Drosophila melanogaster: one gene and its partners. The protein of the gene in region 1 interacts with the protein of each later gene in a pairwise test. Each region holds a gene or a part of one and is shown in the gene's direction. Other genes may lie near its edges. The genes, in order: CG4313, Ttc1 and CG42493.

Evidence for each region.
Region 2: the proteins of CG4313 (region 1) and Ttc1 interact in a two-hybrid assay, tested with the Drosophila melanogaster proteins (one large-scale study listed by BioGRID).
Region 3: the proteins of CG4313 (region 1) and CG42493 interact in a two-hybrid assay, tested with the Drosophila melanogaster proteins (one large-scale study listed by BioGRID).

Annotation. Positions count from the first base shown.
Region 1 is NC_004354.4:2,048,188-2,060,689, forward strand, and holds CG4313 (uncharacterized protein), read left to right. Parts: upstream 1-4,496; 5' UTR 4,497-4,558; coding exon 4,559-5,118; intron 5,119-5,629; coding exon 5,630-6,253; intron 6,254-6,316; coding exon 6,317-6,758; 3' UTR 6,759-7,227; downstream 7,228-12,502. Other genes in the region: Sik2 (Salt-inducible kinase 2), read right to left, coding at 7,731-7,838, 7,933-9,580, 9,642-9,736, 9,797-10,078, 10,134-11,231, 11,288-11,574, 11,778-11,841, 11,912-12,502.
Region 2 is NT_033777.3:16,437,802-16,448,761, reverse strand, and holds Ttc1 (tetratricopeptide repeat domain 1), read left to right. Parts: upstream 1-5,754; 5' UTR 5,755-5,844; coding exon 5,845-6,359; intron 6,360-6,413; coding exon 6,414-6,690; 3' UTR 6,691-6,919; downstream 6,920-10,960. Other genes in the region: CG14882 (uncharacterized protein), read right to left, coding at 4,060-5,334, 5,385-5,474; ema (endosomal maturation defective), read left to right, coding at 7,344-7,549, 7,603-7,742, 7,806-7,954, 8,012-8,154, 8,211-8,297, 8,359-9,149, 9,405-9,521, 9,589-10,050 and 2 more.
Region 3 is NT_033778.4:11,774,302-11,784,569, forward strand, and holds CG42493 (uncharacterized protein), read left to right. Parts: upstream 1-4,224; 5' UTR 4,225-4,290; coding exon 4,291-4,539; intron 4,540-4,603; coding exon 4,604-4,706; intron 4,707-4,762; coding exon 4,763-4,875; 3' UTR 4,876-4,934; downstream 4,935-10,268.

The DNA of each region.
Region 1 (12,502 bases):
CATTGAGGGATCAAGAGAGTCGTGTTGAAGCTGGTTCCAACAATGATTCACCTTTTTTAAGGCAAAAGAATTTCTCGAGCTCGCGACTTCCTAAGGTCTGCACTTCTTCTGGTCTCTGACTAACTTGCCTCGCTGATGACCACCACGTTTTCCGCTACCGATCTCCGATCACTGAACACCGATCGCCACCGCCGACAATTGCCAACTGGCAGTGGCTGTGGCACATGGGAGGCTCAGGCTCTGGTAAGAAATAAAAAACCGCTGGCGCTGACTGCACTTCGCGCCGACGCAACGCTCGTAGCCGTAGCCCGGCAGCCGGAGTCCGAGGCCCGTAACCCGGCATGGGGCGTGGCACCCCTTCTGCTTCCTCGGGACTATGATAAATTAGTGTCAATTAAATAATTTAAAGAGGTCACAATCGCCTCTGTTTCGGTTTCAGTTGCTCGGCGGTAGTAGTTTCAGTGGTGGCTACTGCCTCAGCAGTTTGCACCACTCGGGGTGCAAAGATCAGCGTCGAACCTTAATTAATTGAGTGACTGTTTGGCGGAGACGGTCGTCTCCGGGCGTCTCTAATGCGTGATGTGATGTGATGCGATGGTAATTCTCTGTTCCCGCTCGAGTGGCCGCTAATCGAGACAAGTGTTATGTTCTTGTAACATTCTCTGCACTGGTCGGAAATGTCGCTGTTTCGATTTCTGTGCAACGCAGTCAGGTGTGGTTTGGCCTTATATTAAGTATGGGAATCTTTAACGCAATCGTTAGCCTATGCCTGAAACGTTTTCGAATTCGTTGTGCAACGCATTTGTTTTCTGTGTACATGCATTGATATGCCTCTGCTCTGCCCTCTGTGGCCCTCAGCTGCCCTCGTTCCCCTTAACCCCGACCAGGTCACGGCCGCCACTTAGCACGGTCCGACGGGGCGTATACGCAATGTGTCTGGCTCGCTTACACATACACATACACATACGAATTTAGAATATTTCCTTATCTTATCAAAAAAGCACTTACCTAGCTGAATTTGGTTTCGCTATTTGGTAATCCTCTGCGATTCTAGTAATTCTAACGATCGCTGGGCTCGCTCTCGCTCTCTCCTTCCTCTTGGCCTGATTGCTTTCTCCGTGTCTAGGTCTCCTCTACTCTCCTCAACCTCTCCTCTTCCCTCTAAGTCGTGTGCCGCACCACACTGACGGACGCGTTATCAGTGGTCAGGAGGAGAGGATGGACAGTGGCGGGACTTGGGAACTGGGTATGGGGAAATCGAAATCGCTTGTTTATTTGCTTTCTGCTCACGTAATGGAAACTAGTGCGGTTGCGATCTTCTCTTCTTTGCTCCCCTGTCGTGCTCCTCTCTCCACTCTCTCCAACTCCGATCTCCACTCCACTCCTCTCCAACTCTTACTCCACCACTTCCTCTTTTTCGCTCAGGTTGAGCGAGGTGAAAGAGTGAGTGAGTAATGCTGTTAGCAATGTAAACAGTTTACGGCATTCGGCATTTGCTGGGGTTATTCATGAATCGCTGTGTTTTTTATTGTTGCTCTGGGGACGCCACTGGAGCATTGCTTTTTGTTTTTGTTATTGCTTGCTGCTGTCGGTGATTCAAAAGTCGCACCAGCTTTCATGACTAATGCTTTTGAATCGCGAGATCAGGTAGAGAATAAAAGGGTTACAGGTTGCCCTAACTCAGCACTTGACATAATCACAAAAACAAAAAGGAACAGTCGAATTAAATATCTAACAAATAGGCACACGCTCGCGACTGCTTCAACGGTATCGTATCGAATGTCACTCAAGTCGAACTGAAATCGTAGTTACTTTTCGTTGTTTATTATCCGTACTGGTTGAATGTAACGGACAAATTGCGTAGCGCCTGCGTTCTCGTGCCGGATCGTATTGGATCGTCTATAACTGCCGGATCGAGTGCAGTTCGTCGAGTGCGGGCAGCGTAGAGCGAGTCGCGATATTGCCAGTTGACAATCGGCAGCCCCCTCTCACTCTTTACTCTCACTCTCAACTAGTGTCTAAATGACTCTCCGCCGCCGGCCAGTGGCGTAGGGAACTGATTGAGGGAGGGTATACTCCGTTCGTTAGATATTCCGTCTGAACGCACGTCAGTTGCGCTCCATGTTAGTCAGGTTTCCCCTCATTTGGCGCGCCCCTGTTACTGCCCCCACGACTTGGCGCTCTCTTCTGCTCTCTTGCTCGCTCGCACTCCCGCACTCTCGCCCGCCGGCCGGAGACAGCGCAGAAGACAGACAGGGACAGACAGAGAGGCGGAGATCGGCGATCAGCCATCGGCCATCTGGTGACCGACCGAGGGGCGGGTGTGGGTGGAGGCCGCTCAATGGTTGCCGATCGATCAGATGCATATCGCAGATACGCCGCTTCTGCTTCCTCTCTCCACTGAAGCAAATGTGCAATGATAAGGCTTCATGTGTCTGCATTCTAATGTTTACACAATTGGACATTCGACATCGATCGAGGCGATCCAACATGGCTGCACTGGGAAAAACGGTCTGTCGCATGGTAAGGAACTGATGGTTGGAGCTACCGCACATATCGCATTAGGAACTGTGACCTGGTAATAAATGTTTTCGGTGCAGATATCGAACTGAAGACGTAGGGATTTGTGCGCACTCTCATTGTTTGTTGTTTGCTGCGGATTGTGTGAAGAACACGATAGTTTATGGCTATCTAAACATGGGCCCGTGCGTGTGCGTATGCGTATAGGCGTATATGTAAGTACGCCGGAGAAGTTTACATTAGTCTGGATCTCTGGATCCGAATTCGAATCCGAAGCGGGCGTCGATTGGCGTTCGAATCGTATTCACAATCATATCAAGAATGGTTGATGAGTGGGGGGGGGGGGGAGGTCTTAGTTTCCACTTTTATGCCCATCCCGCAGGCATTTCCAAGTACAGTGGTGGGCGCAAGGATAGTGCACTTTTAATTTCTTAAAAAATGATGGGATTATACGTTTAGATTAAGCTCGATAAAGCCTTGTATTGTTTTATGAAAACGCATGTTTTCGCAAGTACGAGGATGAGCCATATGTTTCGTTATCACGTATTGTATTCCATCCAGTTCCTAGGATCTTAAACTTAAAAATTTCTCGTCATTTAAGTGAATGCGATATGGCGCTATAATTATATTAATTTCCTCAAGAACTGAATGTTATTTTCTTGGGTAGTCGGCTGCAATTCCCGGACTATTGGCCTGCATGAAAACAAACAACGTATTCGTATTCGTGCCGTTGCCAAAGAGTTTTCCCTAGAACCGCCTGTTTTTCTTTTCAAAAGGCAAACAATACTCAATTCGACCCAACAGACGACCCGCACTCTGACCCTCGGAAAAGTAGAGAGGTTTCCCCCGGCATATTGGCTTGATTAATTAAGACTACATATGTACGCTGACGTCGTGTGACACCAGGCTTCCGGGGTTTGACTCATTATTCGAAACGGGTTATGAGAGCGTGAAAAACGCATAGTCTCGAGTTATGATTCAGGATTAATCGCCCATGACTGGAGTATTCATTCTACGCACAAATTCGATCTATAGGCATATTTATTCGAATGAGTCCCTCTCGCAAAAGTTTTGCTTTTTTTTTCAGTTCCTCGCTTCGAATGGATGCCGCCCATTTATTATCCAGAAAATTGCCAGAGGAAACTATGCAACCACACACACAAACACACACACACATGCACACGACCCAGGAACCGAAAAGTTTTTCATTTCAAAAATGCCGGAGAGGTGCGTATGGCCCGAAATCAGGGCTACGAATAGACTCGATTCATCTGTAGGAGCTTATTCATTGTATTCCCAATATATTCATGTAACCTCTGGCACACCGAATTTTTTAAGCATCCAAGACGTATCGGTCAAGGTATCAATTAAGGAGGGGAACTTCTTACTTCATTGCAAGTGATAAGTCTTGAATTGTGTTAGCAATGCAGATAACTTTCCCCATGCTGCTCATGACTTATATTCCACCAGACTGATGCAAAGACTAGTCTAATGCAAGTATGTATGTTCTGGCTGTCGGAATGCTCAAGTATGTAGCTAAAACGTCGAACCATTTTGGGCAATGGTATCCCTGGTCTAGTATCTGAAACTTTGAAAAACGGCAACAACAGCAACATGACCCCGTCAGAATATCGACGAAAGAGCGAAAGAGTCGAGTGGATTGGGGCGGAATGGGGCGGGAAGGGCGGTTAAGAAACAACACCGAATAGGAACAATGTAAACAAAGCGCCCATTCCACACGCAAATTACCAAATTACCCGATGATGAAGTCAATTGTTGTATACAATAAAAATGTGTGTTGTTGCTGCTGTTGCTGCTCTGAGATTCTTTTGTTTTCCTTTTTGAAAGTTTTTCTAGTTCGCCTGCTGTTTTTTTTTTTTTTCTCAATATTTTGTACGCTTGGCTGGCGGCGACTGCCTTCGGGCCCACTTTTTGGGTGGGAACCATGTCGGTGTATGGATGCGGAGAATTCAGTTTTAGTACAAATTCGGCGCAGGAACGAGCAACGCGTCTTTTGCCGAACACAAAGTGCCGCGCGATGTTCCCACCAAAATCCGGACCAACTCCGCATCCGATCTCGATAGCGCTGCCTCTTTCGGATCCCTATGCTACTGATCACATGGCGGATCAGGACGCGGTGTTGCCGGTACCCCTTTCCGACAGCCTGGACCTGGACGTGGACGTGGACCTCAATCTGAATATGAATCTTAATCTCAATGTAGACGACAGGCGCCAGGTGCTCTTCGAGGGCTATTCGGACGAGCTGCTGACCATCGCCTGGGTGGCCTGCATAGTGTTCATCATTGTGGGCGTTCCCGGAAATTTACTGACCATAGTGGCCCTGTCGCGAGGTCGTCAAACCCGCAACTCCACGGCCATATTCATAATCAATTTGTCCTGCTCGGATCTACTCTTTGGCTGCTTTAATCTGCCATTGGCCGCGTCCACTTTCAAGGAGCGGGCGTGGACCCATAGTGATCTGCTGTGCAGGTTGTTTCCGATGCTGCGCTACGGCTTGCTGGCGGTGTCCCTGCTCTCCGTGTCGCTGATCACCATCAACCGGTACATCATTATCGCCCATCCCAGGCAGTATCCAAGGTGAGAATGGGCCTGCCCATATCGGCATGTCCTGCCTAAATCTTGAAGGGTATTCAGAGTGCCCAACTCTTCCTCTTGGTGCTTATCTGTTTATTATGATACGCATGGTAACCTACCACTTAATCTGAGAAAAAAACCCACACATATGTTATTGTGTTTCTGAACTTATAAACTTTTGAACTTGTTTATAAAAAGGAAAATGTATGGCTTCTCGTAGATGTTTTTTAATTAACTAAAAAAGAGAACATTACTTGCTAGAGGCAAATGCTATAGAAAAGGTCGGTTCAGCGATCTCAATATTTTCGTAATAAACAATTAAACTGAACGGAAATTAATATCTTATAAAATATGAACTACAATATTTCTGGAGAAATAAATAACTAGCTAGTTTTTATTTTCGTGAGCTACGGATATCTTAAAATAATATATTTGAATACAATGAGCATATATTATTATCAAATTAGACATGGTACAAAATACAATTCCCACTGGTTCAAATCCGTTCTTCCAGAATTTACCAGCGACGATATTTGGCTTTGATGGTAGCCGGCACATGGATCACCACGTTTTCCATAATGATACCCACCTGGCGGGGCGTATGGGGTATCTTTGGCTTGGACGTCAGCATCGGCTCGTGTTCCATCATGCATGATCGGTATGGTAGATCCCCCAAGGAGTTCCTCTTCATCGCCGCCTTCATGGTGCCGTGCATCTGCATCGTGATCTGTTATGCCCGAATCTTCCTGCTGGTGCGAAAGGCGGCCATTCGCGCGGGAACCGCTGGCAAGACCAATGTCAGCGATGTGACTCCCAGCTCCGCGCCGCAGCATCAGATTCAAGCCATGGCCACACCAAAGAAGCCGGAGAAGGTGACCACGTCCAGCGGCGAGGCGAACGAACCGATCGCAGGACGACCCTTTGTGGTGGAGGAAAACTTAGCGTATATCGATGACAATGCTTCGACGGACAGTCTGCCGATCTCGTACAGCATACGGAGGAGGGATCAGGACCAGCAGCCACCGCCTGTTGATGCCAATGTGGTGCTCAAGGAGCGGGAGAAGGAAAGGGATCGGGATCAGGAAAAGGTCAGCCTGGGACGCAGTCAAACGCAACTAGAGATGGGCAAAACCCATGGGTGAGTAGCTGTTGAAGGCTTCTTTGCCATTTCACTCAACCTTAATGCGTAAATCCATTCCAGAAAGAACCCTATCACTACATCCCTGCGCACCACCTCCTTCACACGGTTTAGCCCGCGGAAATCCCACTACGCCTCCATGGGCAATACCTCAAATGCATCCTCTATTTACCCGGGAAGGATGAGTGCCAAGGACCGGAGATTGCTTAAGATGATACTGGTAATCTTCGTGTGGTTTGTAATTTGTTATTTGCCCATCACGGTGGCCAAAATATGGAAAAGCGCCACCGAGGTGCACTGGTTCAACATTGCTGGCTATCTACTTATCTACTTGACCACCTGCATCAACCCGCTGATCTACGTGTTGATGAGCTCCGAATACCGAAGAGCTTACTGGAACTTGCTGCGCTGCCATGGCTCTCCAGATACCCAGAAGCAGCGGAATCAGGCCAATGCAAAGCGAAAGCACCTGGAGTCCAATCGGCAGGTGAAGGCCACGACGTGACTCCGACAGATGCCTTAACACCTTCATCGTCCTCCGTCCTAGCGGGATATGATATATGTGTGCCATATGGTAGTAATACGATGGGAGAAGTACCCAAATGTCATGTTGAATGATCTGCGGTAAGAAAAAATTCCTTGATCCCCTGGTGATTATAGTGCCTCCAAAAAAGATTTCTAGTCACATGATCCGGCCGGTCGTCCCTTCCACGCACACACGAAAACACAGATCACCCATATATATCTATATCTATATCTATATAATGTAGGAACTCCAGAAGTATATTGCATTTTATACCAAATGACTTTAATATCTGGTTTACATTTGAATTCCATGTTTAAGAACAATCGATGTTTGTTTAAATTTTGTTTTTTTTTTCTTTGCTTGTCGCTAATTATTGTACCAATACATAATAGATATATCCTTATATGGATACGCCCTTTCTATGCCCCCAATAAATGCTTCGAATAATTGATATATGTAGTTACGTTGTTCTCGTCCACTGTCGTGGGGGCAATACAATAGTGTATAGTGTAATCATAAGTAGAGCTATAGCTTAACGCTATTATTATCAATATACATATTGTATATGTCTGCGTATATGCGTACGAAACTTGGACTACTTAAGACTAGTAACACAACTAAATCATTCAATATTACTGCTTCGCCCGGTTCGGTAATGATTCTATCGGTTCCAATAAACGTGAATCGATGTAACTCCGATTCCGATTCCGACCCGCATTCATATCTATATAGGCTATTTATATGTATGTATGGGTGTATATCGTATATGGATCAAATAATTCATAATTGCGATTGCGAGCTTAATAAAAAGGTGGCCCCGGTCCCGGTCCAGCCCCCATTATAGTTCGATGTCCAGTCCTACCCCTTTTCCTTTCCCACCGACTTCCACTTACAAATCTACTCCCATTCGAATTGCCCCAACCCCTCCACCGAATAACATCACACACGGCCTCAGACTGACTCAAGGTGCTCCGATATCTCCAGGATGGGGCTCTCGCTGAGCGGCTTTACCAGCGACTGCCAATTGGGCGTGAAAAGGCTGAGCACCGGCGTCGATGTCTGCGGAGGACACAAGGAGAAAACGGATAAGGTTTATATACGAACTTGGGATGCCTGAGAAATCATCTTAATATGCGTTATCTAGCTTACTTACATGATAGTCGGAGTCCAGGCTGTGACCGTGGGGCGTGGTAGGCTTGCACTTGACCGTGGGCGTACCCGGCGCCGTGGACGGTGGAGCTGAGCATGATACCCCAGCAGCTGATCCTCCGGAACCAGCTCCATTAGGCGCCGCACCAGGCACCTGGTCCGATTGGCTGATGTAGGAAGTCTTGAGGTTCATCTGACTGAAGGCATGAGCTCCGGGCATGGTCATGGAGTGCTGAAGCCTAGGAGTTCCGCTCCTGGGCCGATCAAGCAAGGCCAACTCGTACAACTCGTCGGCCAGGTGATGTTCCGGAGCCGGAGCCGGCGGCGGTGGCGGACCCAGGCTGTGGCCAAAGTGGTGATGGTGGTGATGGCTGTGCTGCTGATGGTGGTGATGTCGACCGGCTAGCTGCGCCTCCAGTGCGTACTGCTTCTGGAACAACTGACGCTTCTGCTGAAGCAGGCGGTGCTGCAGTAGCTGCTGCTGCAGCGGTGGCTTTTGCATCGGGGACATGGGCACGGCCATACCCACGCCCAACTGATGGTGCGTGTATAGCCCTGGTGGCGGCGGTGGCGGAGCATAGCATCCATGACCATACATATCCCCACCAGCAGCGGCTTCCAGGAGCAGAGGTGTGGCTTGGTGGCCTGAATGGAACAGCGAATGATGGCCATGGTGATGCTGCGCAGGATGCGCATGATGATGGGGCAAAGTCAGCAGCGGATGATGCTTGCCCGGCAGAGCATAGAATTGACCATTTGGAAATTGACAGAGTTCTTCCAAGCCGTACGCTTGGGGATGAGGATGCGGATGCTGATGCGGATGTTGATGGGCATGTGGGTGTGAATGCCCCACAGCCGCCTCCTGCTGCAGCTGCTGCAGCTGCTGGATCTCCAGCCAACCGTGACGCTTGGCCTGCTCGTAGCGATAACTTCCGTACACACGACTGGTGCCCAGCAAGGAACCAGAGCTAAGCAGGCCCTGGGCCACCAGGCCATCACTCGCCCGTCTTCCTTCGCGAAAGTGTATGGGTGAACGCTTGTCCAGGAACGTGACACCACCGCCATTTGGCGGAGGCGTAGGATTCGGCGTGGGCGTGGAGGCTGAACTCTGAGGAAGGCCCAAGCCCAACGGCAGAGCTCCTGGCATATGGATGCAGGAGTTGTGGCTCCCGTACAGCGATCTTTCCGATGAATGCTCCGATGAGATTCCCGCTGGCGATGCCGAGGCCGGAGTGGGCGTGGCCAGCATCGAACTTGAGCCCATGCACGAGGGTAGACTGCCCTTGCCAGAAGGCAAGGCAAAGTCCAAGCTATCGTAGGGACCGCTGCAATTGCTCTTGGACGAGCCGCGGCTCAGGTTCTGGCTCAGACTTTTGGAGTAGCTACCAGCGCTCCCGGCGAGAACGCCACTGGACGAGCTACTACTGGCATACGAGCGCATCTTGTGACTCTGTCCAGAGGTAGTGGTTCCAACGAGCCGCGTCAGATCGCTGCTGGAGTGCGAGGTGGGTCCGCCGTTGGCGTTACCGCTACCGCCGCCATTGCTGCCCTTTGACTCCTGGGAAGCAGAGCCCGGATCGTTGCCCTGGTCTGTCTCGCAGCCCTCATCTGTGCTGGAGCTGCCTTGGGCCAGAACTTTCTTCTCCGAGCGGCTGCGGAAACGGAAGAAAACGACATTAGTCAAGAAACTATCGCTGTGACTGCAAGACTCACCTGTCGCCATTCGATTTCGCATCATTCGTTTCCTGGCCGGAGTCACCGCCGCTGCCATTGGTGCTGCCCACGTGCACACGACGCTTAGTCCTTTGCTGGAGAGGAAATGGAATTTGTCAGCTGGAAGCAATTATTAACTCACACGTATCACTCACCTCCACGGGCAGTGGGCTTTCCTGGAGAGTCTGGAAAAGCTTGCTGGCCTCGGCGGACATCTTGTAGCGAAAGCTTTGGCCCAAATTGGCCTTAGAATCGAAGCTGCTCGAGCTGGACATAGTCTTTATTGTCTTGCCGTTAATCTCACCAGGGCAGGGAGCCGATCCCGATTCCGGTCCCGCTGTACTGGATGTGGGTGTGGTAGAGGCGGGCGGAGGAACGCCTCCTACGCTTGATTCCGCCTTTGGCGGATCATCTTTACCCTCAGCCACTGCTGTGGACTGCCGAAAGTATAAGGATAGAAATAACTTGGGATAGAATCAGCCGAAAACTCACCTGCTGCAGCAGCGCACGACAGTCTTCGGTGCTCTGTTTGATGATGAACTCGCTGATGGTCTGATGAAGCTGCTTGGACGCTAGAGGCACACCCACTGCTCCAACGGGTCCTCCTCCAGCCTCCATCATCTCCCTGCACCGCAGGTTGGCCAGCGAGGGGTTGTTGTCGATGCTGAGCGAAATGGCCACCGGTCGATGGCTTCGCGGCGAGCTGGAGCTTAGACTGTGTCGTCCTACCCTCGAGGATGTGGATGAGCAGTTAGAGGGAGCGGGCGACGCGGCTGTCGGCAGCGGGGTGTACCGCATGGGCAGCGGAATGCCGCTGGCATCCACCTCGACGCCTCCTCCATTCAGATACCCAGTCAGGTGGGAGTGGCCCGTCAGAGGCAGTGGCAGTTGCAGTGGGCCATACTTGGCGTAGTATCCGGGACCGGGATCTGGAACTGTGGGTGTCGCGCCGGCGTGGGCGTTACGCTCACTCATGAGTACCGTCTGATGGCGGCTAAGTCTTTTGTGGCACTGATCCTTGGCCAGGATCGAGCTGGTGGATATTGTCTTGGACTGCTGCTGCGATTGTTGCTGCGTCGGTTGGTGGTCATTTCTGGAGCTGTAGATCATCCGACTGGCGGAGGTCGACGAGGCAAGGGCGCTGGCGCCTAAGCCGTTGCTCTGCTCCTTCTTGTGGCTAACTCGATCCTGCAGGAGCAGATATATGGCCGCGACATGGTCGTAAGTGTTCTTCTTAAGACTGGCTCGCGTCTTGTCCGACCCAATGCCGACATACTCGGCCATGATGCGAAGAATGTCCTCGCTGGGTTCCACGGACGTCTGCCGCTCGGCGCCCAGATTGTACTTGGCTATCAGGACGTGCTCCAGCAGCTCGGGGCACATCCAGCGATGGCGTTTGATTTGGTCGATGGTGTACCGCCTTGTGGGCTCCAGTACCAGCATCCGGCGAATGAGGTGCTCGCACTCGGAGCTCATAAAAAACGGAATGCGAAAGCGACCGGAAAGCACCCGATCCCGGAGGCTCTGCAGCGTGGATCCGTCGAAGGGCAGGGCCCCACATACCAGCACATAAAGCACGACGCCCAGTGACTGCAGGAAATTATACATTTTTGGATAAATTGACACGTATACTTCGCACCACTTACCCAAATATCAATCTCTGGACCCGTATATTGCTTTCCCTCGAAAACCTCGGGAGCTGCGTACGGCGGTGATCCGCACCAGGTGGCCAGTAATTCTCCCGGCTTGAAGTGATTGGAGAACCCGAAATCCGCTATTTTGATGTTCATGTTCAAATCCAGGAGCAGGTTCTCCGCCTTGAGATCCCGATGCACTATGCCCTTCTTGTGACAGTACTCCACCGCCGATATGATCTGCCAGAACTTAAAGCGCGCCGCCGACTCGGACATCCGCCCGTACTTGGCAATGTAATCTGGATAAAATATAAAGGTAAGTCCATCTCATTGAAACCCTTATCAACTTAAGAGAATGCGAGAGATTTAAAGCTAGTGTTGTTCGTCCAAAGGTCAACAAGTCTGTGCGCAATGTGGGTTCAAAAGTCTGCTAACTAAATCGAGTACTGTACTCTACAGTCCGAGTTTAAAAAATTTTTTTTAAAATGAAGCCTCAACCCACCGAAGATCTCTCCTTGGCTGGCATACTCCGACACTATGTAGATCATATTCTTGGTCTCCATAACCTGTGGGATTGGTAGAACGGGATTAGGAATACGATTCTTGGCAGGATCTGCCACAGCAAATTCTGCTGACCTGGTAGAGCTTAATGATGTGAGGGTGCTTCAGGCGCTTCATGATCTCCACTTCGCGGTAGACTTTCTGTAGGTTTGTCTGGTCCAGCTGCGACTTGTCAATGATCTTGATAGCCACCTCGTTCTTGGTGATTCGATGCCGGGCCAGCTTGACCACTGCAAAATTTCCCTTGCCAATGGTGCGCTCGATGTCGTAGAAGCCCACGCGCATGGGCTCCTTGAGTTTGAGCAGGTCCTTGCCACTGATACCGCCCGCGCCCACCGCAGAGGATGTGGGACTGGGACCGGGCGTGGAGCCACCCCCGCTGGCAAAGAGCTTCTGGGCGAGCAGTGCATCCTTGCAAGCCACTATTGCGTCTATCGAGGGCGAAGCAGCACCGGCATCCAGGAGCACTGAGCTCCGGAGGGCATCCAGTGGGGGGTGTGAACACGCTCCTTCTGCTCCTTTTGCTTCGGTTTTCCCGTTTTGGGGCAAATTCTCCGGCGGCTTATCCAGCTGCTTCTCGTTCCTCTCATGCTGCGGCTGCTTCTTCTTCTGATCCTCCGGCGGCTGGCTCTCCTCGGACTTGGCCTGGCTCCCATTCTCGCCAGC
Region 2 (10,960 bases), on another chromosome or scaffold:
TGACTAAACCACTCACATATAGTTCGATTTCGAACGGCGCCGTCGAATGATAATTTCACCTTGCTCGAAAGGTTTTTCGGCTGTTTCCCTGCGTGTGTGAGTAAGTGTTTCGTTTACTGAACTGAACCACACACACAAGTTGTTGTTTGGTAGCTATGCGGAATTTTAGATGATTCATTCATTACTTTGCGCCAGCGACTTATTTTTCCCATCGACCGCTAAGGGGGGATGATTTAGTAAACGACCCCACCACCCCCCGCGCTGATCATGCAAACCAACAATGCAAAAGTTGTGTATTATAATGAATCCGATCCGAATCCACTGGCTTTAGTAGCATTTGCCAACGAATGTTTTGTCAGAGTCTCCAATGCCTGCGACATACTCATCCACTCACACACACGTACTCGGTGCAAGTACACTCGCAATAAAATTATATATATTTTTGCGGAGCCACTCACTCAGTGGATTGCAATGTAATGTTCGCAGGCAATGGTACACGATCTACACGTGAACTTCTTTTGACCCTCTTTGCATCTGGAACACGCTCTTATTAGCTCGACAAGACAACTGACAACAGCAAGAGATTGTTGTATCACTGTTACTGAAAATATTTTTTATTTTATAATATGAAATTTCTAATACCTAAAATGTATTTTTGATCTGGGCATTAAGATTTTCTCATCTCTGGTTTCGTTAAAGGAAAATTGTGGGGAAAACTGAAAAAGCTCGACAGTCCGTGTTTCATTGAAATCGAAGCGTGACTTTGGAGCGGGTGCCGCTTCACATGCTGATAAATATAACCAATTATTGTGCTGATAATTGACGTGCTCCGCTCTCACATGGCATAACAATAGTTCTTTTCAGCAACAGAGATATCTGGGCGGGGAAGGCGGTCGAACAAAACGGGCGAATGACGCCAAAAGATTATGCAGATGCCCCCCAAATATAACACATCCAAAGGGGCGCCATAAAATGGGATTGATAATGCATTATTATTAATAATGTGCAGTTCACCTGGCCTCGAACCCCCTTACCCAAGGTCCTTTCACCTGTCGTGAGTGTAGCGATCTATTTTTAACGACTTCTTTGGCCAGCTATCAGCTGGTTATATCAAATGCGGTGATAAGGGGCCCGCCGATAAGGAAAAAGTTGTTTGATTAGCTCATTTGACTTACGCTTCCCGAACAAATTGTGTGCTCGACCTCATATTAAAAACATGGCATTTAACAATATCAAAACCATGAGCTTAACTTGCTAGTATTCACTTATATAAATGCAAATTAATGATGTTACATGAATTCATTTTGTGGGACTTATATTTATATATTCCCAACTGCAAGAACCACTTTAATGTGTTAAATTAACATACTTTGTATTCGTGGCACATTTTAGTGCAAGCATCGAAGTCTGTAATTTTCAAGTCCATTTATATATTTCAGTGCACATAATTGTACATTCTTGGGCCCATAAACGAATTTCAGGGTGATGACAATTATTAGAGGTCGATGTGTTAATTATTCGCTATCCCGTTCCCTGTTTGCCCCTTTGCTCTTCTGTAGTGCAGTAAACCGAGCTGAATACCTAACAACAATAAGTAATCATAGGATTTTATCTCTTCTTTTTGCAGCACGAGTCAGCGAGGACAGAGAGATGAGCAGGGGCCGAAAAACTCGAAGGAAACCGTCGCCAAACCGTGGATCCATATCGCATCGCTCGAGCAGTTCATCGATGGCAGGGGGGCGGGGTTATCGCTTAGATTAGATTGTCCTATGGCAAATTAGCTTACTTCAACAACGCACACAAACACGCACATATGATATACATAGATACTGTATTATTAAATGTAGGGACATAAGTTTGATTACTCTTTATATACCCGTATATATACATAATTGTGATTTAAGCGATTTTATCAAATCAGCATTATGCGACTCTTTATAAAATTCGTCGTAGTCAGTAAGTGCAAACGAACCCTAACAGAGAACATGCAATACTTGTTGTACATTACCAAAAAACAAAAAAAAAAAATCAAAACAAAACGAAGGCGATAGATATAGCAAGTCGAAATGAGTGTAACAAGTGCCATTAGGACTAGAGCTAGCAGCAGCAAGCGACACACAGCAAGATTATCTCCACAATTTATGCATTTCCCATAGAATACAGATATCGATGCAACAGATAACTAATTAGAGCCAGCTAGACAGAGCTTGTATGTATATTAGCTGATATTCGCAGTGTGGACGGGATTGAGGGATAAATGTTCGATATTCCATTTTAATTAGTACAAACGTAAGACTAACCAAACGCCACAAAAGAACAGATTAAAGTAGATTCCCTTGTTCCTTCCTTGGAGATATTTGCCATACGCACAAAGAAAATTGTAATTCTATACAAGCCCCTATCACAATAGAGATGTTATTTAACGCCGTAATGTGTGTGTCAAAGCTAAAGTGAAATATTGAAATATTGTCCCTAGAAAGACTATATAGATCATATAGAAGTGGTATACGTACACTAAACCTACTCCCAACGGGAATCATAAGCAATGCCAATTGCCGAAGAGAATATATTGAAGAAGGTTTAAACTACCTATTTTTCCATTATCCTCTCAGTTCGATATTTTATGCTATTTCCCACCACCACAAGTTCTATTCGAAAAGTATATCTGTGGGCTAGTCGCCAGACTACAGATATTTTACGAAAACACAACGAAGGCGAATGAAAAAAGGAGTGCATTCAAGGATCTTTCGCCAGCCGGTGTTAGCTTTTTTATCTGTTATATATACACTTACCGATAGGGATTATATTTTACTTGCAATTTTGATATTAATAGGGAAAATGGATTGCTGCTGCTGCAGATCGGTTCATAGTTAAATTTTATATACGAAATGAAATCCCAATATTTGGCCTACAATTATGCATTCATAATTTTTAAAGAGCTTAATTATTAATCGAAAATATACTTGATTTTCTTAGTTTAGCTTAAATGAGTATTAGGCAAGGCAACGAACGGATAGTATTTTGGGGCAGTAGAAACGGGGTTAGATTGCCTTTTTGGAAACCGAAACATACCCGACATTACATATTCGCAAACGCATTTAAGACGAACGCAAAATTTGCAATTAAAAACGTAAATGTAAAATGGAACTTAAGTCTTGAAACCAAACAAAGAACAACATAAAGTAGCATAATTTTTTATACGCAACTTTTATTGCAAATGTAAAGGGACGAATAGGAGAAAGAAGAAGCTGACATCAATTTTGATCGATTCGTAATTATATTAGTATACACTAAAAGAATTGGCTCTATTTCAATTAAACTTAAACGTAGATAAAATACAAAATGCATATTATTGTGCAAGGTCAAAACGACTTGCCAAAATAAACGTAAACAGTATAATAAATAAAAAGATCTAGATATTTAGAGAAGCGGAGAAACAATAACGATACATTAGCGCTTTACCAATCGGTTAAATTCAAAGAGCAAACCCTACTATACGTTTTATGTTTTATGTGTGCACGTTTAATTTGCTTGAAACCTAAGTCGTAATCTATATTCTACCATTATTTAGATATATTTTGCAATTTACCACTTAAGTCAATTTTATACACAGACCCAAATCCATTTAGTACACGTAGTCGTCCCCATCCACTTCGATCATTGAAGATGGCCCTCACAATTGTATGTATTTAGTTTACCTTGCACTGTAATTTTTATTTTGTGTTGTTAAATATATCGTTATTTACTTATTCGACCAAAGCTTTCTGTTTTATAATTATTTACATTGAGGCTGCAGTTAAAATAATAGCAATTGATTTACAAACATCTGAGTGCAAATACTTGCATACATTAGCTACTCAAATGAGCAGTGGAAGTGGTTCCTTTGCTACACTTATTTTCAATTATGAAAATAAACGACCTTAACCGTACGTAAAAACAACAAACACACTAAAAATTCAAATTTTCTGTAAGAGTTACAAACGACTAATATATTAAGGTATTTATTTATAGGGCTTAATTAATGAAGCTTTTATTTTGACTGCACCTAAGACTTGTCCATTACAGCCAAACATCCTCGCGGTATTTGTCCTGCTTCCTCAGTTTTTTTAACAGCTGCGAAGCTTCTTCTTCAGTGAGATGCATAGCCTTCTGCAAGCAACGACTTAAAACACCTGCAATGGACTGCGAAATCTTGGCGCCATCGGCACAAATGTACAACACAGTCTCTGACTTCATCAGGAACTCGACCAGATCCTCACAGTCCTCCTCCAACATATGTTGCACGTAGCTGGGGGATTCGCCTCGCGAGTAACACATCCGTAGGCGCTCGAGCAACGAAGATTCCTGCCACTCCATTAGTTTTTCACGCTTAAGAACTGCTTCTGGGGTCTTGGCACCAATGTAGAGCCAGGATTGCCCGCTTGGCTGTTGCGGCTGCTGTTTTATAAGCTCTTCCTTGTGGGCTAAGAATCCAAGAAAAGGCGCCAGACCTGTGCCAACAGCAATAAGTATTTGGTTTCTGCCCACATCCCGCTCTGTGTAACGGAATAGGTTGCTCATTCGTGGGTAGATAACTACTTTTTTGGAATGCTCCGGACTGCTTTGCTGTGCAGCCGCCTCCAACATGCTGGTTGTGACTCCAGGTTTGAGGCTGAGCAGCGAGTAGATAACGCGAAGTTCGCGATTACTAGCCTCCAAGGGACTGTTGGCAATGGAGTACGGTCGCGGCAGCAGCCGTGGCAAGTGCTCTGCCAGGAATGCCAGTGGTGGCCTGCAGTTGACGCACACTTCAAGAATGTCTATGAAAAGCAGGCCTTGCTCTAATATCAGCGATTGGTAGTACTCGGTGGCCTGTTTAGAGGACAGACAGGACAGGAAACAACGCTCTTTGTCATCGCTTGTAAATCCGGCCAGGGCGCTGAGGAGCTGCTTCTGCGGAACAAAATTAAGGGAGAGGCAGTGGGTAAGGATCTCCCGGGGAGTAGTAGTTGCTGGAATGTGGGCGGGTAGCTTAGCATTCTTATTGGCGCAGTTGAACACCAACTTTAAGTGGCAAGTGGTGTCGGCCTGGTCTAACAGTTCCAGCCGATGGAGCAGACTTTCCACTTGTTCGAGTTTATTAGCAGGCAAAATTCCAATGGTATCCCCGGGCTGGTAATCGAACGTGGACTCCAGAGTCAGCTCCACCACGCGTTTTGTCTCTGTAGCCTTATCAGCAGACACGAGCACCTTGCTCTCCTTTATCTCCACTGAACTTGGCTGGAAATCAGGGCGGGCGAATGGGAACTTTAAAATATCGCAGCATTTAAGTTGGCCGCATGTTTCGGTGGGTCTCTACAAAGATAGGCTTGAAAAGGCTATTCTCACGGTAGCTCCTAACTCACCTGCTCTTCGTCCGTGAAACACAACTCCAGATTACCGACCAGCGGCTTGGCGGGGATGTATTCACTCAATTTATAAGCTCCTAAGTCCATTTTTCCCGTATTTACCAATTCGCATGGGCAGCAGTCAAATCGTTAACAAGCGGTAGTGTTGGAAAGAGTTTATTTACAGCTTCCCTTATCAAGGGAAGCTGTAAAAGATTAAATGTTTATTTTAAATTGGTCTTCATCTTTGCCAAATACAACATTAAGGATTATCCTTAAATTATTTGTTTTAAAAATTATCTGTACCTAACATTTCTTAGCTTGGGAAGGTACCTAATCAGAAACCTACCTTTGTCAACACTGTACGACATCGGTGTTATCGATATGCACAGTTATCGTTAGCATGAGGAGCTTTATTTGTTGCTGAACAACAAACCGAAATCTCCAGTAAATTCGGTAAGGATCAATTTTAAAAAGAATGGCAGGCAACGCCAACAGTGACGACGAATTCCATGATGCGATCGGGGAGGAGATAACCGAAAAAGAGGCCACCAGCACGCGGCAGAGCGAAAAGGACGTGGATGAGATCGTGGAGAAGCAAAACCAGCTGGCGTTGGATGACGAAGCGGAACAGGGCGCGGCTGGTGGAGATTCCATCGCGACACCAACGACAGTGGACTCTGAGCTAACCATTGAGGAGTTGCGCGAACGGGAGAAGGATCTCAGCCCAGAGCAGCTGACAGCTAACAAAGAAAAGGCCGATAAGCTGAAAGTTGAGGGCAACGAGTTGTTCAAAAATGACGACGCCGAAGGCGCCGCCAAGACCTACACAGAAGCCTTAGACATTTGCCCCTCGGCCAGCTCCAAGGAGCGAGCAGTTCTCTACGGAAACAGGGCTGCTGCCAAGATTAAGCTGGAGGCCAACAAAGCGGCCATCGACGACTGCACAAAGGCTATAGAACTGTGGCCGGAGTATGTGAGGGTGCTTTTAAGGTCTTTATTTTAATATCTCCCTTAAAATTTCTAAAGTCTAATTACATCTTACAGGCGCGCCAAGCTCTATGAGCAAGAAGACAAGCCCGACGAGGCTCTGGAGGACTACAAAAAAGTTACTGAGATCGATCCCGGTCAGCAGGAGGCTCGCGAGGCTCAGATTCGGCTGCCGCCAATTATAAACGAGCGCAACGAGAAGCTCAAAAACGAGATGATGTCCAGCTTAAAGGACCTGGGCAACATGATACTCAAACCGTTCGGACTGTCTACACAGAATTTCCAAATGCAACAGGATCCCAACACGGGCTCGTATTCCATCAACTTTAAATAAAAACCTAGCTAGCTAATGCTCTGCAGATCAACAAATAAAGCCGTATTCGTGGATGATGTGTAAAATAATAGTCAAACTGTAGCAAAACGTATCAAATTCAGTTCTCGTACATTTTCACCTCTGTAGAATATGCAAATGTGAACCCATTTTCATAACAAACGGTACCAAAAAAATCCATTAATTATATTTAATGTAAAATGCATGGTGTGATATGCTATTAATATATGAGGTTTGTTCCAAATTTTACTGTCTGGTTTTACAAAATTCAAACGGTTCTTTTGAGAGGTTTTTAAAAGTCGTGAACCAGTCGCAGTTCTCATGCAATCACAACAAAATAGCCACTTGTCATCTCTGTTACTTCGATACCGATAACCATAAATATGGGCGGAAGCAACAGCTGACTGTGACACTTGTGTTCCCCGTGAAGAAGAAGAGCAATTTGTTGGAAAAAATCGCCATTCGCAAATTACAATATTAGATTCGTGCAATCGCAGGCATTAGGTGCCCCCTTATTGTGGGCCAACCCAGTGGCGTGACCGTGAGCAGTAGTGCATGCAAAGATCCAAGAGAACAGCGCTCCCGCACTCCTCCTTACCCTGATATGAGAGCAGTCAGGCGGATCGTGGCCAGTTGATTCCATCCTAGTTGCCAACATGTTCCGGAGTCGCAGCTGGTTTGGCGGACCCTGGGGTGGGCGGCCCAAAAACCGCTTGTCGCTGGAGCACCTTAAGTACCTGTACAGCATTCTGGAGAAGAACACCACCGTGTCGGAAAGTAATCGTGGCCTGCTGGTGGAGTCGCTGCGCTGCATCGCAGAGATCCTGATTTGGGGCGACCAGCATGACTCGCTGGTGTTTGAGTGAGTATTAAGCATCTCAATGTAATAAACCTTAATCTAATTATTTGCAACAGCTTCTTCTTGGAGAAGAATATGCTATCGTATTTCCTGCACATAATGCGACAAAAGAGTGGAGGCTCGAGTTTCGTCTGCGTGCAGCTCCTTCAGACTCTCAACATCCTCTTTGAGAACATACGCAACGAGACGTCCCTGTGTAAGTACAATTTTCAACAGTTTCTATAATACAGTAGACGTAATCATTCCTATGACGTTGCAGATTATCTGTTGAGCAACAACCATGTAAATTCTATCATGGTGCACAAGTTTGACTTCTCCGACGAGGATGTGATGGGCTATTATATACTTTTTTTAAAGACGCTAAGTCTAAAGTTAAACACTCACACAATACACTTCTTTTACAATGAGGTTTGCATTGCCTAAAACACATATTTACATCCATTTAATGTGACATATTCCTTACAGCACACAAATGACTTTCCCTTGTATACAGAGGCTATTAAGTTCTTTAATCATCCCGAGTCAATGGTGAGAATTGCAGTGCGCACCATTTCCTTAAATGTCTACAAGGTTCAAAATCCAAGCATGTTGCGTTTTATTCGAGACAAGTACGACCTTTGCCTTCAGTCCCATGAGCTCCATTAAACTATTTTTTTCTCCCTAGAACGGCTGCTCCATATTTCAGTAATCTGGTCTGGTTTATCGGCAAACACATTCTTGAACTAGACACTTGTGTTCGCACAGATATAGAGTAAGAGTTATTGTAATATAGTCCCTCGTTTTATAGTATTGATTTCTTAATTCATCCGCAGCCATCAATCGAATCAAAAGCTGTCCAATTTGGTTGCCGAGCATCTGGATCATTTGCATTATTTGAGTGACATTCTTCTACTGGAAATCAAGGATCTGAACGCGGTGTTAACCGAGCACTTGCTGCATAAGCTATTCGTGCCTCTGTACATATTCTCACTTACACCAGCTCCGCCCCCGCCCTCACTGGCAGTGGTTACCCAGAATCTAGCTGCTGTGCTTAATCGCAATGTGGACATCGACATACAGGAGATGCACAATCCGCGAGTGAGCTCCATCGTGGCCCTTTTCCTGCTCTCATTGGTCTTCCTGGTGGTTTCGCATGCCCCTCTGGTGCACGCTCTGGCCTGGGTTATCCTCAATGGTGACCACAGCGTTTTTAAGGAGGGTGCAGCCGAGATTCTTAATTCATACGTTGAGCACCGCGAGGTGGTTGTGCCTGGCTTCGGCGAGCCCGACGAGAGTCTCGAACAGGCCTTGGATACAGTCACCGGTCAGTCCAGCTCGTCCAGCTATGCCCTTAGCGAGGACAGTGGCGTGGAGTCCTCATCCCCAGCCACCACAGAACTGGACTCTCAAGCAGATGCGGTTGAAGCGGAGCAGATTAAACTGCGCAACATAACTGACGAGGAAAAGCAGCTGCTGCAGAAGTCATCTTCCTCAACGAAGGCTGACTTTGCTGAGATGGCCAAACCGTTTTTAGACACGGTCCTGCATGCTTTGGACTGCACCGAAAACGATTACCTTGCCCTGCTGTCGCTGTGCCTCATATATGCTATGTCGCACAATAGAGGTAATATTCATGGATATTTCCCTTAACTCAATTTGACGTTTTTTTTGGCTAATGTTGTGTAACTTTCCATTGCTCTGATCACCCCATTTTTGCTTCATTCTAATTGCTTTCTTTGTGTGTAATGAAAATGTCACATTCTGGTACATGTCCCAATCCGTTCAGATGGTATGTAACTCGTCCACTGCCCGTACTAATCAATCGTATGCATCTATCATAGTCTCCTTAATAAATATCTTTATGTACCTTTCCATATAGGCATCAAGAATGAGTGGTTCGAGCAGGTTCTTGCAAAATCAACCCGTGGCGCCTTCAGTTATAAGACAGCCTTGATTGAGCATCTGTTAAACATCATCACCCAGTCCAGTCAGCCATGTATGTACAACTGTTCGAACTCCGGTTATCATTAGCTCTTTAATAATTCCATTTGAATTCCCTAAAGCGTCCCGCATTCGGTTGATTACCGTGGAGATTGCCTTGGAGTTACTGGTCACTTTCACCCGTCCCAGCTCGGATGATTCGCGCTGCATAACCGCCGCACAACAGGATCTGCTCTTCAGCGCCCGCAATCAGTCGATGGTGGTGATCCGTAACTTCTACAAGTCGGAGGACATCTTCCTAGACCTGTTCGAAGACGAATACAACGAGATGCGAAAGGCGCAACTGAACGTGGAATTCCTGTGCATGGACTCCACCATTCTACTGCCTCCCACGGGAACGCCACTTACTGGAATCAACTTTACGCGACGACTTCCCTGCGGGGAGGTGGAAAAGGCACGCCGAGCCATTCGCGTTTACTTCCTGCTGCGTCGCACGTGCCAAAAGTTTTTGAATGAGAAGGAATCGCTATTGCCGCTTACAAATGTAGTCAATCTGGTTCAGGTGGAGAACGTACTCGATCTGAGTAAGTATACTCCTCCTACGATGATGTATGTATATATTAAGGCTAACCATTATCCATCTAGACAATAGTGATCTAATAGCCTGCACCGTTGTGGCCAAGGACAGCAGCAAGCAAAGACGCTTTCTGGTCATTGACGCATTGCAGCTAATTCTCGTCGAGCCGGATGCAAAGCTGCTTGGCTGGGGCGTGGCAAAGTTCGTTGGCTTTCTGCAGGACGTAGAGGTGCAGGGTGATAAGGATGACTCGCGCTGCTTGCACATCACCGTGCACCGGGGCGGAGTCACTCACAACCGCACTCCGTTGCTCTCGGCTAAGTTCCTGTTCGACGATCACATCCGTTGCATGGCTGCCAAGCAGAGGTTGACAAAGGGTCGTAGCAAGGCGCGACAAAAGAAGATGTACCAGATTGCGCAACTCATCGAGATTCCTGGACAGATGGACTCTCCCGTCTACGCTGTTGGTGGCACAATGGTCGCATCCAGTAGCGGCGGAAGTGGTAACAGCAGTGGCAGCAGTTCGCGCAGTAGTCACCACCGTCCCATGTTCTCCACGGCCAATCGAGTGCCGGGATTTGCAGCGGTGCTGCGTGGAAGCAATAGCGCTGGGGTTAGTCGAACCCAGATGGCCCCGAATCGATCCATCGAAGGGTAAGTTCACGTCGGTGTGTCCTCATGTTCCTCATTTCCATCCTCATCTGTGCGTCTTCCCGCAGAATTAGAAATGAAAGCGCTGGCCGCTCCCGACGCCGCAGTCCCAGCTCAACTTCGGGCTCGAATCTTAGGGCCGATCACTCGGATCGGGAGCGATCGCCCAGTGTTAGCATGGGCAGCCACAGCTCCTCGCAGTCTCGGGAAAACTCCCAGCCCAGAAGTACTGGAAATCGGTCGCGGGAGAGCAGCCCTAGAATGCC
Region 3 (10,268 bases), on another chromosome or scaffold:
GGTTTGAACCGAAAATCATCTAAACGTGGTTGAAAGAAACAAACAAACTCAGACTAGGATAACTGGGTGCCGTGATGCTGTGGCCCTTATATAAGCTTATTGTTTTTTTTAGCAATTACCCTGCTGACCAATTAAAATAAATGACACGTTAAGATAGCCTCTTTACTGCGCAGATGTTTTGCGGGCATTCGCTGTTATTACTTTGAATAACAAATTGGTCTGGCGAATATTTGTTTTTTTTTTTTTTATGTAAATATTATTGGCGCACGCGAAATTGATGGAGCACAGTGGGCCAAGTTAGCTGGCAGCTGGCCAAGGAGTATTGCCCCAAACTATATAATTTATACATTAATAAATGCTGCACAAACAATGGTTTTATCAATTGGCGAATGTCAGTCGGGAATGTTATCAGAACCACTGATAGAAATAAAGTATACATACTACGATGTTATGCACGTTAGATTAAACAATTTCATGATTTAAAACTTGCTTATGTTTAATACATATATATTATTATTATTATTTACTGGGTCATATTAGTGCCAACAAATTGTAGTGGTATTGTATTTGAATAAAATATAAAACTTCAGTGTAACATCAATTTGGTTACCATGTTCATGGGGTCATAGGACATTGCTTGAAGGATATCCACCCACCCACTTGTGTCCCAGTCCTCCGGCCACCAGCCTACACCACCCACCACCCACTTTGCCCCATTCGATAGAAGCAGCAGCAGACGGAGCTCCACAATCTTATCGGAGCTGCTCTTATTGATTAATATAAAGATACTGACAGCCCAATCGACGCAGTGCGGCGGGTATCTGTATCTGTATCTAAATGGGGAAGGCTAAGCACAGGCCCTCCGGAGTTCGTGGAGCACCTTTTCCACCTGGCCGGCGCTTCCAGCTGACATATAGAGCAAACAAAAAGACACAATTATTTTTTCATATTATTGTTATTTGTTATAATACGAGATAGGGGGCTCCTTTTGGACTGTCCTATCTGACACGCATTTCTCTGCCTTTGGCGCCCTCTCAAAGGCGATAAAGGCGGCATTGAATGACTGACAATGCACTGAGCGAAATTCCAACGCCGCGTGTGGAAAGAAAAAGCTTAGCCCCAGCTATTTGCGCACTTAGATAAGCGCCTTTTTGGCAGCACATCAAAAGTGATAATCGATTGCTTTTCAGGTGGTTTTTGTTTGCTGCTCGGGGTTTCGGAAGCATTGTTTTGGGGAGCGTTTTTATTGGGTGGAATTATCGCGAAATGGAATTTTAATGGTTGTTGTTTAACGAAGAGTCTTCCGGTAATATTTGTACTTAATAGCCATACTTAAACATTTTTGAAATGGTGTGTTTAATAGAGCAGCTTCTTGAATATGTAGTTTGTTATGCTTGCACGATTTAAGTTAATAATTTAATTTATATCATTATTAATTGTTGTTTGTATGCTTGTTTATGATTATTTTATTCTTCGTTCTTGATTATAAATAGTTACATTTAAATGAACTCTCTACTCTTTATTGATTTTCGCGACCCAATAGCTGAGTTCTAAAGTTGGAGCTCCTAGTATTCCAGCTTCGAAAATGGGAACCCCCACGATCACTTTCACTGCAGTGCGACCAACCCGAGCACTACCACCTGTCATTGCAATAGCTTATGTCAACCGCAGGTGACCCACTTGTATTGTAGATCCCCTGACTCCGCATATTATACCATCTCATCTTGCAACTCATAAAGGCCCCGCAGGAACCAGGGCTTTATTTTTGGGTTATATGCACAGAGAACACTCCCTTTTCCACTGGCTTTTATCGCAAGCCAAACTTCCGCTCAGTGTATCCCCGCCCCAATTTTTATGGAGCGTTCTGCGGGCAGTTGAGCGCCAGGCGGCCTTTTTGTGATTGTGATTGTGCTGACAACAGAACCCGGCGAAGAAAGACAGCCGACGAGCTGTTTATGATGATGATTTGTGCCATGTGCCATATGGCATATGCCACATGCCATATCCATGCGATGCAAGTTACCATGATTTGGTGTTTTGGCTACGTCTGGGCTGGAAAACTGTTATAAACACCACTGTTTGTGCTGCATAATTACTGCCTGTTGTTTATTTCCTGTAACATGCAAGGCGAAGCCCTCCCATAGACCGCCCCGTCGTCAGAAGACAAACAGAAAATAGGTCTATTCATGGGGGCTTATAAAGCTGTTCCGTTATTGCAAAACGCATTTTGTCTTATCAGTGAGGCAACTGTCGGCTAAAGAACCCAAAAGGCTCTCGGAATATTCCACATTGCGAAGCATTATATTTGTCTATCAACAGATACAAAAGACTGGTACTTGTTTGTAGGTCTACTTACTCAGGCAGTTTCTTAGCTTTTCCTTACCAAATTTTTGAGCAACTCTGGATTCCGTGGGCCAATATCCAGTCATTTTCTTTGACCTTATTTAGTTTCCATAAGTCGAAAATGTTTAACATTCCGTTGTGCAAAAACAAAACTTAGCAATAGGTTTGCTATTCCAGTGAGCTTAAGTTCTAAATTTGAAGACGTAATGAGCTTTGCAAAGGTAAATGAGGTCTTAATCGGGATCTTTAATGTAAATATTTATATCAAAGGAATTCCAAATATTCACCATGAACCCAAAAATATTCCACCATGTTTTTGGATGGATATATATTCAACAAAATACAAATTTAAATCTTAAACATAAATTTAAATCTATATATTAGTATTTTTTATAAGAAATGCAATTCAATTCGAAAAACATACTTTTAGTTCATTCCCGTTTTCACAGGGTACCATGGCGTCGATTATATGCGTGATTTTGCAATCGGCGCATTTTGTTGGCGCAACCCCACGGCACGAGAATCAAATCAATTAGTTCGCTTGTCAAATGCCATGTTGTATTTTGGATTAACAACTGAAGCAACATATTCGGCGATATCGATAAAACGATAACAAACGACGCGTGGCGGACTCAACTGTACTTAGAAGCACTTTAACCTTGTATTTTTATATTTTGCCCCGCTAATATAATCATACGTGAGGAACCGAAAAGAAAGCAAATAATACCTAAAGCTTGACCATAATTAAATTTACATTGGCAACTGATGCTATTTTTGGGTATTTCCGCTGGGAGGGGAATTTAAAACCGATCCGTTCAGCTTGACTCTAATCCAGTTGACCGTCGCCACGGTCTATTTTGGATCCTTGGTTCCAAAAATGAAAAGAACCTTCGCTGTCCACGATCGTTATCAGTGTAAGATAGGTCAGTCCCATTTGCTAACTGTTGCAGGAGTACAGTTGCGGTCAATTGGCTAATACAGTACGGCCTCGATGAGCTGAGCTGAGCTGTGATTACACAGCCTAATTAAAATACCACCTCGATAATTGGGCTGAAGTACGGGTACTCAATGCCTCCACTCGATCGCACATTTTGCAGTGCCGAATTCCCTTATCGATCGATCCGGGCGAACGACCCTCACTGGGGTCTCAACTGTGTACCCTCGTTATGCAAGTCCCTGACAGACTTTGGCCAAATATTTTAGCCATGACTAGGCCAAGAAGGCAAGGAATGCTAACTGCTATCTGCTATCAGCTATCTGTGTCGCTTCCGCGTCACTTGATTGATCAAAGAATGTTCACGCAGGCAAACCCTTTTTCGCTTCTTGTCGCTTTTGCGTTGTAAACCAAAACTTGGCGATCTGAGGGCCCGACACTCGAGAGCCCCGGCGGCTGATGTTATGTCTGATTTGGAGCTGATAAAATGCCAGGGCGTTTATTGTATTTGACTTGATTTGTTTGGCATTGTCTCTGTCTATCTAATTGCTGTCTACAGAACTAGAATTCTCGGAACTGCCGATGGCCAAATACTAGAGACGAGTGTGTAGGATTACGGGCTACCACTAACTGTAATTTCAGTTAGCTGGACACTCGTTACACCGACAGGTGATTCCGTTTCGAATGGACTCTTGGCCTCCAATCTATGCGAGTCCAATTTTATTCATTCGAGTCGCACATGTGCACAATTTCTGAATGTGTTATTGTTTAACCTAATTAAGAATTAAGCATAATGTGGAAGAGGTTGATATAAATGTTTACATCTCTCATCGCAGACATCTTGAAAGATTCTTAAAAAAAAGTATGCAACAAAAAAATTGTGTTCAAAATTTGCACAATAGTTGTGATGCTGGATAATATTTTCTTTGAATAGAAAACAAAATAATTTCTAATCCAAAATAAAAACCAAGAGCTCCGTCATTATCTTTCAGTTTTACCGACTTTCAGAAAATATGCATTTAAGAAAATTTTTGTATTGTTGGCCATTGAAATATGGCGTTATTACTGTGGGCATTGCTTTTGGACTCACGGACTTCATCGTGGGCAGCATTGCATGGGACATGGTTATCAGAAACAAATATCCAGACTATGTGGTCGAGTTCTTCAGAACCATGGACACCCGAATCTGTGTGTCCGGATTTGCCACCGTTTTCTGGTTGATGATGACCAACCACTTTCTTTTGATCTATGCCGTCTTTTACGTGAGTTCGAATGAGTTTATGCGAAATCTAGCAAATCCTATCTCAAAAATCCTTCTAAACTCAGCACAAACTTTTGATAATCGGAACTTGGCTGTTGATAAACTACATGGTATTTTTGTTCACCCTTGTCACCGTGTTGTTGGATAGCTTGCTAATCCTTAGAATAAGTATGTTTGTTGGGATTGGATGTGTTATGACCAACTATAACATTTTTACATTTAAGTTGCCCTCGGATACTGTTTGATCGTGGTGAAGTCCTATTATAGTGAGTTGGCTGAGTCTCAGGAGGAATCATCCGATTCCAGTGAGGAATCAACTAGTAGTGATAGCGATTAAAATGCCTCAAATGTAAGCATTTTTTTAATTCAAAAGGCAATAAATTCGATTTATAAAGTATAAGTAGTTTTTTTTATTATATGAACTAAATACCTTATTTATGCATTAAATCAAATAACCGATAATATCAATTTTTGATCATTTTTCCGAACTCAGTAGGCTGTACCCTCCCCTTTTTGAATCGTCGCTTGTTGTGTGCTTGTCTTCCTCTTTCCTGAAAGGCAAACAGGATTAAGCGATAATGAAACTGCACTTTCCGAAAATGCCGTCAAAAGCCCCGCTTCAGACTCATTAAAAATCCATTAAACTCGATAAAAATGAGAGGGAAGCAGGCTCCCCAGAAAGAGCGAGACAGAAGGCGGAATAAACATTTCTTAATAAGCTTTACACACAAATGTGGAGCACTTGGTGACAGTTCCCACTGAGTTTTTCGGTTTTTTTCCCCCCAAAAAGGGTGAAGTCAACACAGGCCAAATAAAAACAACAAAAAAGTCGAAAGTCGAGGGCCGGCCACTTAAAAGCTCATTTTGTGAGTGCATTTCGATGTTGCATTTGCAAATAAATCATTCGGTTTCCCATTCGGATTTCATGCTGCTCATGAGATATGCAAAAACTCGACGAGTAAATCAGCTTCCAAAGCGTTTTAACTACAAATGAGCCAAATCAGCGCCGATCACGAACAGCTTATGGTCACGCATTCATTATGAATTAAATCGTATATTAACGGATAATCCGATGGACTAGTGATACCCAAAATCAACTGGTGGGATTTTATATAAGTAGTGCGGCGTTCCTAGTGCATGAGTCACACCTAAGTGACCCCTAATTAAGTATGTGATGAAAGCAGGAAACAGGGTATCCAAATAATCACTTCCTTAATAATATTTCTAAAGAAATATTCACTTACTTAAGATACATGTGTCACTTTGTATAGATGACTAATACTTTGAACGTATGTCTGTTGAACGTCTACAAACAGCAGCAGCTATTTAGAAATAATCTAGACACCCATTTCCTTTTACACAATATTTATTTTGAATAAAATCATTATCATATAAGTATTTCGTACATATGAATAAGTGACAAATATAAAGTCCAATTGAGAGCACAATGTTTCCTATCACAGTCCACTTCAGTGTTTACTGCAACGGTGAGTCATCGCTTGAGCCCATAACCCATGTTTATACTAACATCCAGTTATAATAAGCAGGTCTTTAGAGAACCATAAAACCTATTTACCAGATACAGCTACACATAGCAGATACAGTTGCAGTTGAGTTGAATGACACCCTCCTCGAGTGCAGCCCACACTCTGTGTCAAACATTTATCAGGCAATCGATAAGGAAAGGAGCTCCCCCGATTCGATCCGATCCGCACTGCTTCGCTCTACAAAGTTGGGGATAAAGTTATCAACGACATAACTCCCGATACAAAGCGGTTGAGTTTGGTTTGTTGTTCACAACTTTGTTTAATGATTGGCATAAAATTCACTTTCCGACTGCCTGCCGTGCGTTTTATGCCCTGGATCTGAATCGGGGTCGGAGTGCTAAAACTCCTGATCCAAGCTGCCGACTGGCTCCTCTAGAATTTATGCGGTGCCATTAAAGAAGGTATCCATAAAACGCTGAGCTTAATTAAAACGCCACGTAAGGCGGACCCACTAGGATGGCCGTTTAAAGTTGAGCTGCAAATCGCGGGCAAGCAACCTATATTTATGGCTACAAAAATCGGCATCCTTTTTCAGCGCCTAATGAGATTTTCACAAAAGCAAAAATCATAATTTCCACGCGCAACCAAGCGCAACAAATTGCCCTTTTGCCAGGTGGGCGTTGCACTTGCCACAGTTGCACACCCAGCTAGTCACACCCATTTCGAGAAAATAAAAGAGAAAAGCGGCAAGCTTGAGTGAAATAATATGCTTTAATAAGATATTTATAAATAGATTCAATTATATTTTTCGGGAAACTCACCTTGTTTGGACCTTGACTGCGTTTTTAACTGTTGATTACCTCACTATTTGACTTGGGGAGATTTTCATATTCGTTGGGTATTAATTCCTTGTCAGCTGACAAGCAAAATCGTTCACTCTCACTTTTAACTTCACTTTGAAACCAGCAGAATGACAACATTAATTCCTAGATTAAGTGGCCTTTTGGAAAATAAAAAATTTATGGACGCTCCTCTAATGAGGAATTTAAAAGTGAAGTGAAAAAGAGAATTTCCGTGAATATGAAGTATACACGGTTTGCTTGCCAGCGAAAATTGATTTATCATCGTTCAAAAGCAAATATCTGAACGAATGCAGAAGGAATTTCATTGTTCTAAATCAAAGTCTGAAACGCGTCCAAATAAATCTAATCGGTGTGGTCAAGGAAAGAAGTCATTTCGTTTGTGTTTTCAATTTGATTTAATACGCGAACTGTGAATCTGTTTTATGACGTAAAGCTAATGCAGATTAGGAAATCAATCCACTACAACATTTTTGGCTTCGTTCACAACAAATTGCCGCAACGATTATCTATTGAGTTGCCACAGGCAAGTTGGCAAATATTAATAATCCGCCGCGTTGTACCGCTTATGCAATGAGCCGTGGCAATTACACATTTCTTTGCGATTGCCCGCCCATCGAGACGTAAGCAATCTAGGGGCGCTGAAAATCCGATAACCGAGTGGATCATTAAAATCTGAAATTTTCTGCACATTTAACAGGCCACAAGATACTGTATCTGCGGCTTCTTGGGACATATCTGTCTGGGTTCGCATATCAATTTCACCCCAGGACGATCTGCACCCCAGGAGCTTGATATCTCGGCGGTCAGGGCTTGTGTCCTGAACCCTTTCGTCGCATAAGGCAACTTAATTCGCTTCCGTTTGCCAATCCAAACAAAAAAGAACAAGAAGAACGCATAAGGATGAGTGCACTGAAAAAAGAGTTTATCATATCATGTTATTTTCTTTTAGCTGAAAAAATAATTTCTTGTTAACAGACACATATTTTTGTCACAGTAATAGTGTTTCGAATTTTATATCCACTATATGGTGCTAATTGTCATATTTTTGAGTACAATGATTCATTTTAAATTAGATTCATATTTCAGAATGTTTTCCTAGCTACATCGGTTTCAGTGTAGCCTCTATTGCAGGGGAGGATTGGCAGTCCTTTCGACAGCTTCCCCTGCGCCCCCCCCCTCCTGTCTTTGACCCTCTGCTCAACATTTGTGTGTCAGTTTCGCGTCTTTCCGCTTCCGTTTTTTTTTTTTCTTACATGCGACTGAGGACGGCGACTCGACCCAAAGCGACCCCATAAATCCGCACACTGTTTGTCTTAGATTGCCCCACTCCCGTTTTCCATCTCCAGCTGTCCTTTCTCGTAACTTTTCCTAGTCGCCAGTTGTCCTACACACATTTATTTTCCTTTTAAATGTGCTTTTTGTGGATTTTATTGCATCGCTGTGGCAGTTCAATGAACGCATTTGCCGGCGCCATTTGCCAAGTCATTCCCAGCCACATCCCCAACCTCTTGTATATACATATATGTACCCCTGCCATAGGGTAAAAGCCCTTCTTGGCACGTTGTTTTTCTTAAATATCAAATATTCCAACATATTACATTCTCATACTCGTTGGAGGCACGCAAACATTTTGGCGTACATTTCCGCAGGAAAATGGCAGCCGAAATGCCAAAAGGCCAGCGGACCAGGTGCCGAAGGTGGGTGCTTTTGGGGCGACCCTTTGCAGCATGTTCATGCCGCTTAACATGCAACTGGGGGCGCAGTGGAGCCGCGGGTGGGGCAGAGTCATGGCTAGACTTGTTACGCAAAGGGCGACTTTTTGAGGCAGCTAACAGTGGCCCAAGTTTGGATACAAAAGTGCATTAATCCGACAAATTAAACGTATTTAATAAATTTTAATGCAATTTAATGCAGTGTCAAAAACAAAAATGTTACTAATTAACCTTGGCCTAATTATCATTTATTATTTGTATATTAATGAAACTTACTAAATTTCTGGTCTGACCCACTGTTGGACCATCTCATTTTGCCCTTTCACCGGACTGATCCATTATGTTATTACATTTACTACAATAACCAAATTACAGGTCTGTCGAGGGGCAGGCACTTCCGTTCTATTGATTACATTTGCATTTTGATTAACAAATGATTCGACCCCTACCGCATCCCCGCCCCCATTTGTGCATTGCGACTTCATTGCCCAGTGGAGCATTATTCACCGGCATTTCAAATGCCTGGGGCAAGTGTTTAGATTTGCTTTAATCACCTTTATTACTTGTCAAACACGATTCGCCCGCGGGCCACATTTTCCTCACTGGGGAAGTGTGTGGGCTGGATGTTTTGTTGGCTTTGCGGTTTTTTGTTTACATGTTTGGGAACAGCAAATGTGTGTAAAATTCAATATGCTTTTGGCTTTTGCGGTCGGCGCGAAAAACTTGATACAAGCGGACGACACGTGCCCGAAAAGCGAAACCCGAAAACTGAAAACCAGGAAACCGCAAGATCCTGTCCAGAGACAAGGGCGCGGTCGTAAACCAATCTGGAAGGGAATCAATTAAAGCTCATTAGCCTGGCCCAAAAACGAAAATAGCCAGGAAACTCGAGCGATAAGGCAGCTGTCCGGCCGTCAAATATAAATATATACAGGTAATATACGATTCGATAGCAAAGTCCGCCGTGAAAAGGCGGATGCCACTGGAGACGATCCGATAGAGCCGGTGTCATGGAATCTTTGGCAAGGAATTTCGCAGCGATTTATTTACGATTTATTTTGATTTCGCTATTGGGGCAATCTTTATGAGGCTCCCACTATGCGGACCATATATCTCCGCCAGCTGTGGCGCTTTAAAGCAAAATTCGCACGTCATCCGGCAGAGACTCTGGGTGTGAATTGAGTATGTGATATGACCCAGTCGTCCCCGATTGACTGATAAGGCCCGGCACTCAGAAATAGTGCCCGGTCACTTAACAGTAATTAAAGGTAAATCATATAATTAAATATATTTCTCAAGGACTCTCTAAGCCGAAGAAATGGGGCAGCAAACATACTTCAAATATATTTGCATATACGCAATCTTGGCATAACTCAACTCAACGTTTTAATAAGATATAATTATTATAATACATCATTATTTTCCCCTTTAATAATGTCAAAATTCCGGGTAAAAACTATTATGTAGCTTTAGTGTTTCTACGGAAATATATGTATATAATCTTATTCAGAGAAGTAGCTTTCAGGTAAAGTAATTGTTTGTAGTAACTCGAAATAATTGCTCTGTTTAAGGTTTTCCAGCCCATCGATCTTGTGAGCCTTCCGAAAACAACTTTCACCTGTGCCAACTGTCAAAGATTTCCTTATAACTACAGGCCACACGATATCC